Drosophila melanogaster: one gene and its partner. The protein of the gene in region 1 interacts with the protein of each later gene in a pairwise test. Each region holds a gene or a part of one and is shown on either strand. Other genes may lie near its edges.

Region 1 (4,204 bases):
ATGGTATTGGCGCCAACAAATCCTGCACTTATCGTTCACCAGGCCATCATGGTGCTTCAGTGGCGCGGAGACATTAATTTGGCTGTCCAGCTGCTCAACAAGGCGATCGAAGTAGATCCCAAATGCGAGCTGGCCTACGAGACACTCGGAACAGTCGAAGTTCAGCGGGCGCAACTCACACGGGCCGTCGAGCTTTTTGAAAAGGCACTGCTTTATGCCAAGAGTCAGGCGGAGTTGGTGCACGTTTACTCGCTGCGCAACGCGGCAGTGGCCCAAATCAACGTCACCAAAAAGCTGGGTATCGACATGAACTCAGTGTCGGCAATGGCCCAATCCGGATTGATGGCCCAGGGCGTTGCATAGAGTATGAAACCGGTGTGTGTTGGGATTGATATCCCGAGAAAATAAGAGCCAGCGCGGAGCATTTAGCCAGCAGTCCTACTCTAATTAAGTTAATATCGACCATACCTGTTATTTATATATATATATATAAAGCTTGTTTACGTTTATGCTCCTAGCTTTAGCATAGAAATTGTCATGTATTATGGTACATATGTAAACTAGAATCTGTTGCCTAAGGAATCCACTAAGACAAATCCAGTAGCTTATGTTTAAGCGTAAGATTAAACTTAAAACAAGCAAGTCTCCTCATTGTGGCTCCCGTTCCGGTTGGTTAAACGCCTGGACATCGCCGGATATGTAGCTGGCGCCGATTACCCACATGGCGGCCCTCACACTGCTCACCAGCTTGTAGTCGGTCTCCAGTTGTTCCAGATAGGGCATCAGAAGTGCTGGAAGCGCGCCCATGCCGCCCGAAATGCCCATCAAAGTGCCAGCATAGTTGGGACTCATATCCAGCGGTAGCAGCTTAATGCTCGCATAGTAGGCTCCCATGCCAAGAACGCTCCAGATTCGTGCTCCGCTCATCTTGATCTGTAGCATGTACATGGATCCGCATAGGAAGACCAACCAGGACATGAGGCGGCGTGTCTGAGTGCGCGTGAGAATCTGCTGCTCGATTAGCACGTCGCTCAGCCGCCCTGTTGTCAGTGAAGCTATCCAGTTTCCAACGGACGGTGCTATCGTTTCGATGATGGTGGTTAGTTCTGAGAAACTGGTGCCACGGGCTCTTACTTCCTCTAGCGCAATTTGCAGCTCCTGGGGCAATTTCTGTTGGAATTCCTGCTGCATGGAGGTGGAAACCAGGGCCCAGAGTGGCGTGCTGTTAAGCATGCTCCGCCAAGGTGCAGTGTTGCACGTTGCTTCCACTTCTCTGCGGTGCTCCCTATCCTCACCTTCATATCCATCTTCCCCGTCCATCTCCTCTCTTTCTCTGCCAGTGGTCAACAAAAAGGAGTTGCTAGTATTGCACCTTATGTATTCCCTTTCTTCGCTCTGAATAAACGGACAATGATCCGGAGTGCTATAGCAAACTAAGGTCTTGGGAACAAATTGGTTTAAACTATGATTATCATGACTTTAGACTTCGTATAGACTTACAAATCCCAAGAACCAGGCCACGGCTCCTCCACCAACCAGATAGAAGAACACGGGCCAATCCTGCTCCGCAATAAGCAACCCGCTGACCAACTGGACCATCGTGATGCCGATCTCACCGCCACTGAGTACGCAGCTGGCCAGCATTCCGCGCTCTTGTTCCGGAACCCACTGGGCCAGGAGTGCACACACGGCCGGAAAGCAAGGGCCCTCACAAATTCCGACCAATAGACGGACAGCGACAAGGGCATACAGACCGCCCTGTCGCACTGCAGTGGGAGTTAGCAGGGTCAGCACCGCTGACGTGAGTATGGCCGCACTGAGCACCCACTTTCCACCATACCTCTCCGCCAGCCGTCCGCCCGGAACATGACTGAGCACATAGCCGGCATAGAAGGCCATTACTACAAGGGATTGGGTTTGGCGAGGCCACTGCTCGGAGCAGCTCAAACGTTCTTGAGAGTCCTCTTGACCAGGACGTTTCTCACCGGCAGGTTCTCTATCCCGCGTTCCTTTGGCGCTTATCTGGTTGAGATCTGGTTGCTCCTTTCCCGCTTTTAGGCGGCTTCTCAGTTGATATTCCGTGTGATTCAGTGCCATGGCCAGTTCAATACGCCAGTTGGGCAGTGCCTTTGGATTTAGTACTTGAGGAACGTTGTCCACCCTATGACCACCACATTCCAATATGATTCGGTTAAGCGTACAGTCCAAGCACAAACGCATTGTGTAGGCATTAATGATCGCCAAAAATGTGAAGCAGCAGAGAACCCAGCGCTGTCGCACCTCCAGATCTGTGGAATGGAACGGGTAACCATCTGGTTGTAGTGGATGCCACGTAAAATCGCTGAATTATGCATACATATACATACATATAAATATATCGCTCAACTTTTGCTCAACAGCGGGCAGCATTTTGGTAACTTTGTTTTATAGAAGTTGGACAAATCGCAGAACGCCTACTAGAAGATGCCCCTTTAGACTATTTAATACCTATTATATGAGTATATCATGAATACATTTTTACAAACTGGATTTTAGATTTATAGTTTTAATTAGCTTTATACACTTTATTTGACTAACATCATAAAAACAGTAATGTCTTAACAGAACAGCTAAAAACACGCTTTACTTTACACATTGATCAACAATTTAAAATGTACAAATTATTTCATCATTTGATTTACAATACGGCAATACGAGCTCTGGTACACGAAATCCTTAATGCGAAATCGCAGTTTGTTTAAATACTAAATAATAATTAAGAGAGTACGTTGCGTGCGCGGCATAGGGGTATAGTTTAGGATTAGGATTAGGCTAAGGATTATCCTAGCTAACAAAAGGGATAAACATGGTAGCACTGCGGACGTTCGGGAGTGTAAGTAAATTCGCTTAAATTAATTAGTTGGCGCTGATGCCAGGGATCGGCCAGATCGGGAATACTATAAAACTAGCAATTTGAACAACAGCCACTGCGTATACAGCATGACACTGCTTTTGGGAACCACTCGGATCCCAGATTACGGATTCCAGAATCCGCGTAGACAGCACTTTAACTAGATTACAATGTATACATATATGTATGGCACTTTTTTTTGGCGATCCACCTTACGAGCTCTGCTCCAGACCACTTGTCTTTTCACCACCCACCTTGCGCTCCTGTGCCTCAAAGTCGACGGAGCGCGGCTGGATGGGTGCGTTATTGAACGGCTGCACCTCTCCGGATGCCCAAATGCAGTAGATCACGGCAGTGAAGCAGAGCACGCCAAAGGCCACCCAGAACACAAGACGCCACTCCAGCAGCGAGGCCTGTAAAAGGAGAACAACCAGATTAGCTAAAGTTTCAAAACATCACCTTTATGATACTCACATTTGGTGTCATCACGCCCACCAGGTACGGCGTGATCACTCCGGTGATTGCTCCAATTCCGTTTGTGATGGCCATGAGCGTTCCGGCATAGTTCGGACTCATGTCCAGGGGACTCAGCTTCATGCCCGCATAGTAGGCGCCCATCAGACCCATGCAGATGGTGAAGAGCACCACGACGAGGACACGATCGCAGCCGGCGTAGGAGGCGCCCACCATGAAGATGGCCGGACCGAAGGCAGCCAGACCAGTCATCACCTTTCGGGTGTTTGTGGTGCTCAACACGCCACGGCGGATCATCCAATCGGCCACAAAGCCACTGCCCACGGAAACGATCCACATCATGACGTAGGGCAGCGAGGAGTAAAGACCGTTGGCCTTGATCGAGAACTGAAGAACGTCGGCCATGTACTTCGGCAGATCCGTCACCATGATGTAGAAGCCCCAATCGTGACCAATCTGGGCGGCCACCAGGGCAAACATGGGCAGGTTGGTGAGGATGGCCTTCCAGGGAGTGGGGGGCAGGTCCTCGTTGCGGCTAATGGTTCCAATCTCCTTGACCAGATACTCGCGCTCGCTGGGCTTGATGAAGGGATGCGACGTGGGATCGCTGTAGCAGAGGAACATCTACGAGCAAGAATAGTTTGGATTATAACGAGTCTTGACTATGTGCTAAGTGCTCAGCCTATACTTACAAAGATGGCAAACCAGACAACACCCAGACCCCCGAAGAAGTAGAAGACAAACTCCCAACCATAGGCGTCTATAAACACGCCAGACAACAGGTTGCCCATGATAGTACCCACTTGACCGCCACCCAGCACCAGAGCACCGAGCTTTCCA
Region 2 (6,041 bases), on another chromosome or scaffold:
GCCTTGTATCGCACTCCAATGGGTCAGTACTACTGCCAGCCCTGCAACATGATGATGAACCATGAGAGCACCTTGCAACAGCACTTTATTGGCAAGAAGCACCTGAAGAGGGTAAAAAACCTTTCCCAAACTGAGAAGAACGTGTAAAGAATTTATTTGATATACCCTAAGCCTAAGCCATGACTTCCCGTTAGCAGTAAAGCTTCCTTAATAATAATGACATTCGAGTTTGGGAAACAGCTATTTTGTTTAAGAAAGGCATTATAAAAACCGTAATTTGTTATCATACCCATTACTCATAGAGGGGTATATTAAACTCGTTAAAAGGAATACAAATTTCTATCGATATGCCAAGATAATTTTGAAATTTCTCTCTCAAACTCACTCCCACTATCTGGTATCTGATAGTCGAGAAATTCGACTATAACATTCTTTCTTGTTTAAAAAAATTGTCTAAATTTAGGGATTCAAAAGTGGTTTACCGATGATAAGCTTTCTTGAGCCCCACTTAATATGATCACAAGGTTTAATTTCTTTTCTGCATTTATTTTTAAAATTATTCGCCGTTGTTATTTCGTAGATAAATCGGTAGTGGTCAACTTTTTTTTATTAACTGTCAGGCCAAAAACAAATGGAATTTAAAATAGTTCAAATCAAATTCGAATACGAAAATAAGTGTTGTATTTTGAAAAAGAAAAAAAATTCGTAATTTCACACCATGGCCGAGGAGATAGAGGTTGAGGAGACGGAGGACTTCCACGACATGGACTTCAATGACGAAGAGCCATCCTGTAGTGGAGGAGCTGTCCAGGCCAGGACGGAGCGCTTTGTGGTGAAGAAATGGGTTGCGCACGCCATGTGGGGATGGGACGTAGCAGTGGACAACTGTGCCATCTGCCGTAACCACATCATGAACCTGTGCATCGAGTGCCAGGCGGACCCGAATGCAAACCAAGACGAGTGCACTGTGGCTTGGGGCGAGTGCAACCACGCATTCCATTACCACTGCATCGCGCGCTGGTTGAAAACGCGCCTGGTCTGTCCGCTGGACAACAAGGAGTGGGTCTACCAGAAGTACGGCCGCTAGCGAGGAATATGGATCGGGATATTAGGTGGTGATAGCTGTTTGCTGGCATGTAATTACTGTAATTAAATAAGAACGGACTTGGGTTCCAAAAGAAGGTTTACGCTTCCTGGTCGGGCAGGAGTTGCTGGGCCGTGGGCCTGACGCCAGTTATATGTTCGATTTGAGAGTAAAGCGAATCGCGCTCCTCCACTAAGCTAGCGTACTTTTGCTGCAGCTCCTTCTCGCGGTCCATCTGGCGACGCACGTCCTCTTGCAGCGATTCCAGGCGTCGCGGCACAGCGATGGCCTCCTGTTCGCCCAAAAAGCGGAATGTCGAGAGTGAGACAGAGTTCTGCTCAATCTGGCCGTACGTGTCCTGAAGCTGCTTAATCAGCACCTGGGCGCGCGCCTGGTAGCCGCCGGTGAGAATCTTCAGCTTCTTCTCGATCTTGCCGCAGCGCTTGGCTTCCTTGGCCATGTGGCGGCGATTTGTCTCCAGCCGTTTCTCGGCAGACTCTAATCGATCCTTCTTGCTGGCCAAATTGGCGCGTGTGTAGCGATGTTGGGAGGGTAGGTAAAGAACCTGGCCGAGGCACTCCTGCCACACCTGGGCATAAACGTCTAGGGGCAGTTCGCCATGCGCCATGCGCTCCTTCACCACCTCCATTTCCTCGGTGAGCATTTGCTTGGCCTTCGCCAACTCTTGCTGCGAGATGTCCTCGTAGGGATTGGCCTTAAAGTAGCTTTGTAGCTGTTCCAACTTGTGCTGCGATTGACCAGGCACGGGATCCTTGACCGAGTCGTACACTGCCAAGAAAAAGGACGTTAGTTACTTGGGTTAAAATGGAAACGTTGGGTTTACTCACGCTGCATGGTGATCATTTCGTGTTTAATCAGCTCTTCGGCCTGCTGCTGTTCCGTAAGGTTCTGTTTCTCGGACTGCGGTCGCAGAATCTTGGTGTTCACTTCAGTTGGTCGCGGGAGACTACGCTGAATAACCTGGGAGCGCTTCTCTAGCTCTCGCTTTCGGCGCGCCTCTTGTTCAGCCAATAACCTGGCGTCGACATCCGCCTGATCCTCGACGGCGGGTTCTGAGTTGGTCTCAATGCGTTCGCTTTCCTCCTGCTCAGGCACCACGATCTCATAGTCATTCCGTGGAGCGGGCAGCGTGGAGAGACCGTCACGCAGTGTAGACTTTAGTTGCTTTTGGTAGTTTTTGTAATGTGCTGGGGTCTCGGTGACGCCCATACTCTCCTCAGGATTGATGCTTAGCTTGTCCCTCACGTAGGCAGGTGTATTGACGACACCCGTAGCCCCTCCTGCCCCCTTTACGGGAACTAGGGCTCCGGAGGAGGGCGTTTGGAATCCGCCGGGAGTGGCTGCTCCGCCCTCGCGTTGGGTTCTAAACGGCGTGGCAATCACTGTGTTAGGCGTGGCGATGGAGGCCGCCTTGGGCAGCACGCCGGAGAAGTCTGACTCGTGCAGCGGTGTGTTCAGGCCACCTTTGAGTGGCGTCTCTGTGTGGGTGAGGGCCATCATGTTTTGGGCCTCCTGCATGATGCGATCGGTGTACGGAGCCGGAGTACGTGGAGTGGCTGCTACCTGGGGTGTAATGGAGTAGTCGGCTAGCAAAGCATCCGTCGTCTCTATGCCGCTCTCACCGGCAATTTCCTTTGCCATCTCACTGGCGCGTCCCAGCTTGACTACCTGCTGTAGTTCCATGTCGGAAATCTGCGGCGTAGGCAGGACTAGTTTGGAGCGCTTCCGCTCGGGCTCCATGTTTTGCAGCATTGCGGTGGGCACTTCATTCTCTTTGCGCTGCTTCAGCTTCTGCTTGTCCCGCTTGCGTTCGCGTTCCTCCTTCTCTGAGCGGAGTTCTCCATCTAGGTCCTGCTGCCGCATCTTGTTGAAGTCGGGTTCATTTTTCTGCAAGTGTTCCTCGGAAGTGTCGTAGAATCCGTGGGCAGGTCGCTTTTCGAAGGGAATCTCGGCGTTGTAGTCTATTCCCTTGATCCGCTTGCGATTTCCGCTGCCAATTCCGGCGGCACGAAGTTCGCGCCGCTTTTGGAGAGTGGCCAGGCGGCGGGCTTCCTCCAGTTGCTTTTCGCGAGCCTTGCGCTTGGCTTTCTTGCCTTGCGTGTTGGCCAAGCGGGCGCGTGCCTCGGACAGCATTTCCAGCTCGTCCTCGTCCATGTCCTTGGGATCGGGCCGCGCCGGCTTGGTCTCTGGATTGGGGTCAATCTCTCCGGGCTTCAACTTGCGAGGATCATCCATCGTGTCCTCGCCATCCTCTTTGCGTTGGGCTTGGTCTCTGTACGGCAGGAAAGGGATCAGAAATTTTCTACTTAGTATGTTGTGCGTTGGACTCACAGCAAGTACTCATAGCGCTCCAGGCACTGGGCTGCCGTCCGTCCGATGATCGGGGCTATGGTGCGCCACTGCGTCGGCATCAGCTTGGCCAAGTGGAGCAGTTTCTCGTCCTCCTCACGGGACCACTCGGTCTTCTTGATGCTGGGATCCAGCCACTCGTACCACCTGGCCTTGCACTGCTTGGCGGACTTTCTGTGCAGGAGGGAGGCAATTCGACTCCACTGGTTCTTGCCATATTTCATAACCGCAGCTTTGAGGATTTCATCCTGGGAAAATGAAATCGGTAGCCAATGTAAGCCATGTGTGGTTAACCGATAGACTATTGGGATAATTACCTCCGTGTTGCGCCACACGCCGCCCTTGATCATTATTCGCGGCATTCTGGGGCCTTATGTTGCTTTCTGTCGCGTATACAATGGATTTTCACAATTTTCACTCGAGTCCACGAAACTCCGCTCTTTTTTTTGCAGTAGCCGCTAGCGATGGTTAGTCTTCGATAACAGCGATATCTCCAGCACGTTTTGGTATATTTATAGAACCTCTAGTTAAACTATTCTAGCTTAGTACAAAAAAATTTCATTATATTGTATTTAGTCTTCGTATACCGTTTGATTTAACTTCGGTCTTAATATTGGTAACTTAAATTATTCAATTTAATAAAGGGCCTATACACACGACATAACATAACGCGACAGTGTGACCGAATATAGTTGTGCAAACACCGCTGCCACACTGTGTACAGCAACAGCTGTTCGCTATCAGTTATTTTGTGATGAAAAGTTTTTTTTCTGCGTAATGCCAATTTTTGTGATGCGGAATTAAGAGGCGTGTGCCCAGGAAGCGGAAAACCGGCAACCGGCAACCGGAATCCGGCACCGGGAATCAACTGGACCAAGGAAGGCACCCACGATGAGCGATGCGACCTATCCGGGATATTACGGCGGCAACCAGGTGAGCAACCAGCGAGTACCTCTGGCCAGAAAAACACGCCGTGTGTCTTCCAGCTGCTCCCGTTGTCGCATCCGCATCCTACACATCCGCACCAAGACCTGTCGCTTTCCACGCCGGTTCACTCCTTGGAGCAGGACTCCAACTTCGGGGGATTCTTTGACGAAGAGCTGGTCATCGGATCGGGATCCGGATCTGCCTCCGCGTCTGCTGCAAACACCACCCCTTCTGGAACTACTTTGTGGCTGGCCGATGGCGGGAATCGATCACCTACTGAGGTGGCGGTGGAGTCCCAGCCCAATCAGGGCATTCCCTTTGTCCAGATCCACACCACCGACTTGCAGCAACCAGAGAAAAGCTACCGCAATGCCTTCCGCAGGCGTACAGCGGAAATTAAGTCGGAGGAACTAATCAAGTCGGAACTTGCGGAAGCGGCAGCCAAGGATCGCCTGAATGCCACGCCAACGCCACCAACTCGAAATTCCAGCTGCGCCAGCGTGGAGGGCAAGGCAATCATTCAGGAGGGTCCGCCTCTTATCCTGCGCTGTCCTAATTGTCCATTCTTAAGCCTCTGCCAGATGCGTCTTCAGCAACACCTTAGTCAGGGCAACTGCTATATGGAGCAGCACAGGAAACAGTGTCCAGGTGAGGCATAGTGCGCCTTCAATATGAGTGCTCTGCTGGAATGCTTCATCATATTTGCATTCACTTTTCACGTGTTTTTCGACAGGCTGCTCAAACATTTTCTACACCAGCGATGCGCTCAGCTTGCACCTCAGCTTGGACCATCAAATGGAGGACAGTGAGACACTTGCGCTTATGGGCAGAAAAGTCACTGAAGCACAAACTAAAAAGCAGACTCAGATGTCGCAGAGCCAAAATCGACCCAAGAGCCGCATCTTTATAAAAAGCGTAGATTGCCTAAGGGAGCCACTCCCGGATTTCCCGCCCTTAATGCCGGATAGCGGGTCCGCCGCTAACATTCTTGATCTGCTGGAAGGTGTGGCTGTAGGTGCATCGCCGACCGAACAGACAATGCCAACAGCACCTGCTGCGAATTTACCAGCTCCGCCGCCAAAGCCCATCCAGAAGATCTCCATCAAGAGCGTGGACGTGCTCAGGGAGACCGCTTTGCTGCCGTTCGACTTCCAGCTGCAGAACCATTCGGTCAATACGGACAATAGTCTCCCTGAAGTTCCTGATGTTGTCGGGGAGCCGGAGAAGCCGCGCCAGCCGAAGATTTATATCCGCAATGTAGACATCCTCAAGGAACCGATGGTTTTGCCATCTGCTCTGCCCGGTCTGGGATTCAATAGCACCATGCCGTCGGCAGCAGAGCCAGGACAAAGTGGCCTGGTTGTAGGAGGAGCAGATGGTGATGTCTTCCAGTCGGAGACACTACTAACGCCCACGTGTCAGCTTCCAGGATTCGAGCCCAGCCTCGCCCCGCTCGCACAGATGTGTTCCGAGGCATTTCCCTTTGATTCTGTGCTGAATGGCAATGGAGCACCTGCCGCCCATGTGGAAAACACACGTTTTAGTGCTTTGGACCTTGATTTTGGTGTGGATTTTGTTTCGGAAGAGGCAACTCCGCCACCTCCTCTGAATGATCCACTGACAATGATGGAACCACAACCTGTCCAGCTGGAGCACTACA

What was found. The genes of interacting proteins can lie anywhere in the genome.
Region 2: the proteins of CG18788 (region 1) and Cdc5 interact in a two-hybrid assay, tested with the Drosophila melanogaster proteins (one large-scale study listed by BioGRID).

What each region holds. Positions count from the first base shown.
Region 1 is NT_033779.5:12,032,430-12,036,633, reverse strand, and holds CG18788 (uncharacterized protein), read right to left. Parts: upstream 2,445-4,204; 5' UTR 2,410-2,444; coding exon 2,367-2,409; intron 2,289-2,366; coding exon 1,501-2,288; intron 1,441-1,500; coding exon 649-1,440; 3' UTR 503-648; downstream 1-502. Other genes in the region: Tom70 (translocase of outer membrane 70), read left to right, coding at 1-363; dmGlut (dietary and metabolic glutamate transporter), read right to left, coding at 3,103-3,303, 3,365-3,988, 4,057-4,204.
Region 2 is NT_037436.4:357,313-363,353, forward strand, and holds Cdc5 (cell division cycle 5), read right to left. Parts: upstream 4,072-6,041; 5' UTR 3,817-4,071; coding exon 3,772-3,816; intron 3,703-3,771; coding exon 3,437-3,702; intron 3,378-3,436; coding exon 1,933-3,377; intron 1,874-1,932; coding exon 1,185-1,873; 3' UTR 1,088-1,184; coding exon of another isoform or gene 719-1,087; 3' UTR 539-718; downstream 1-538. Other genes in the region: CG1231 (uncharacterized protein), read left to right, coding at 1-147; Roc1b (regulator of cullins 1b), read left to right, coding at 719-1,087; CG1233 (uncharacterized protein), read left to right, coding at 4,346-4,387, 4,441-5,029, 5,115-6,041.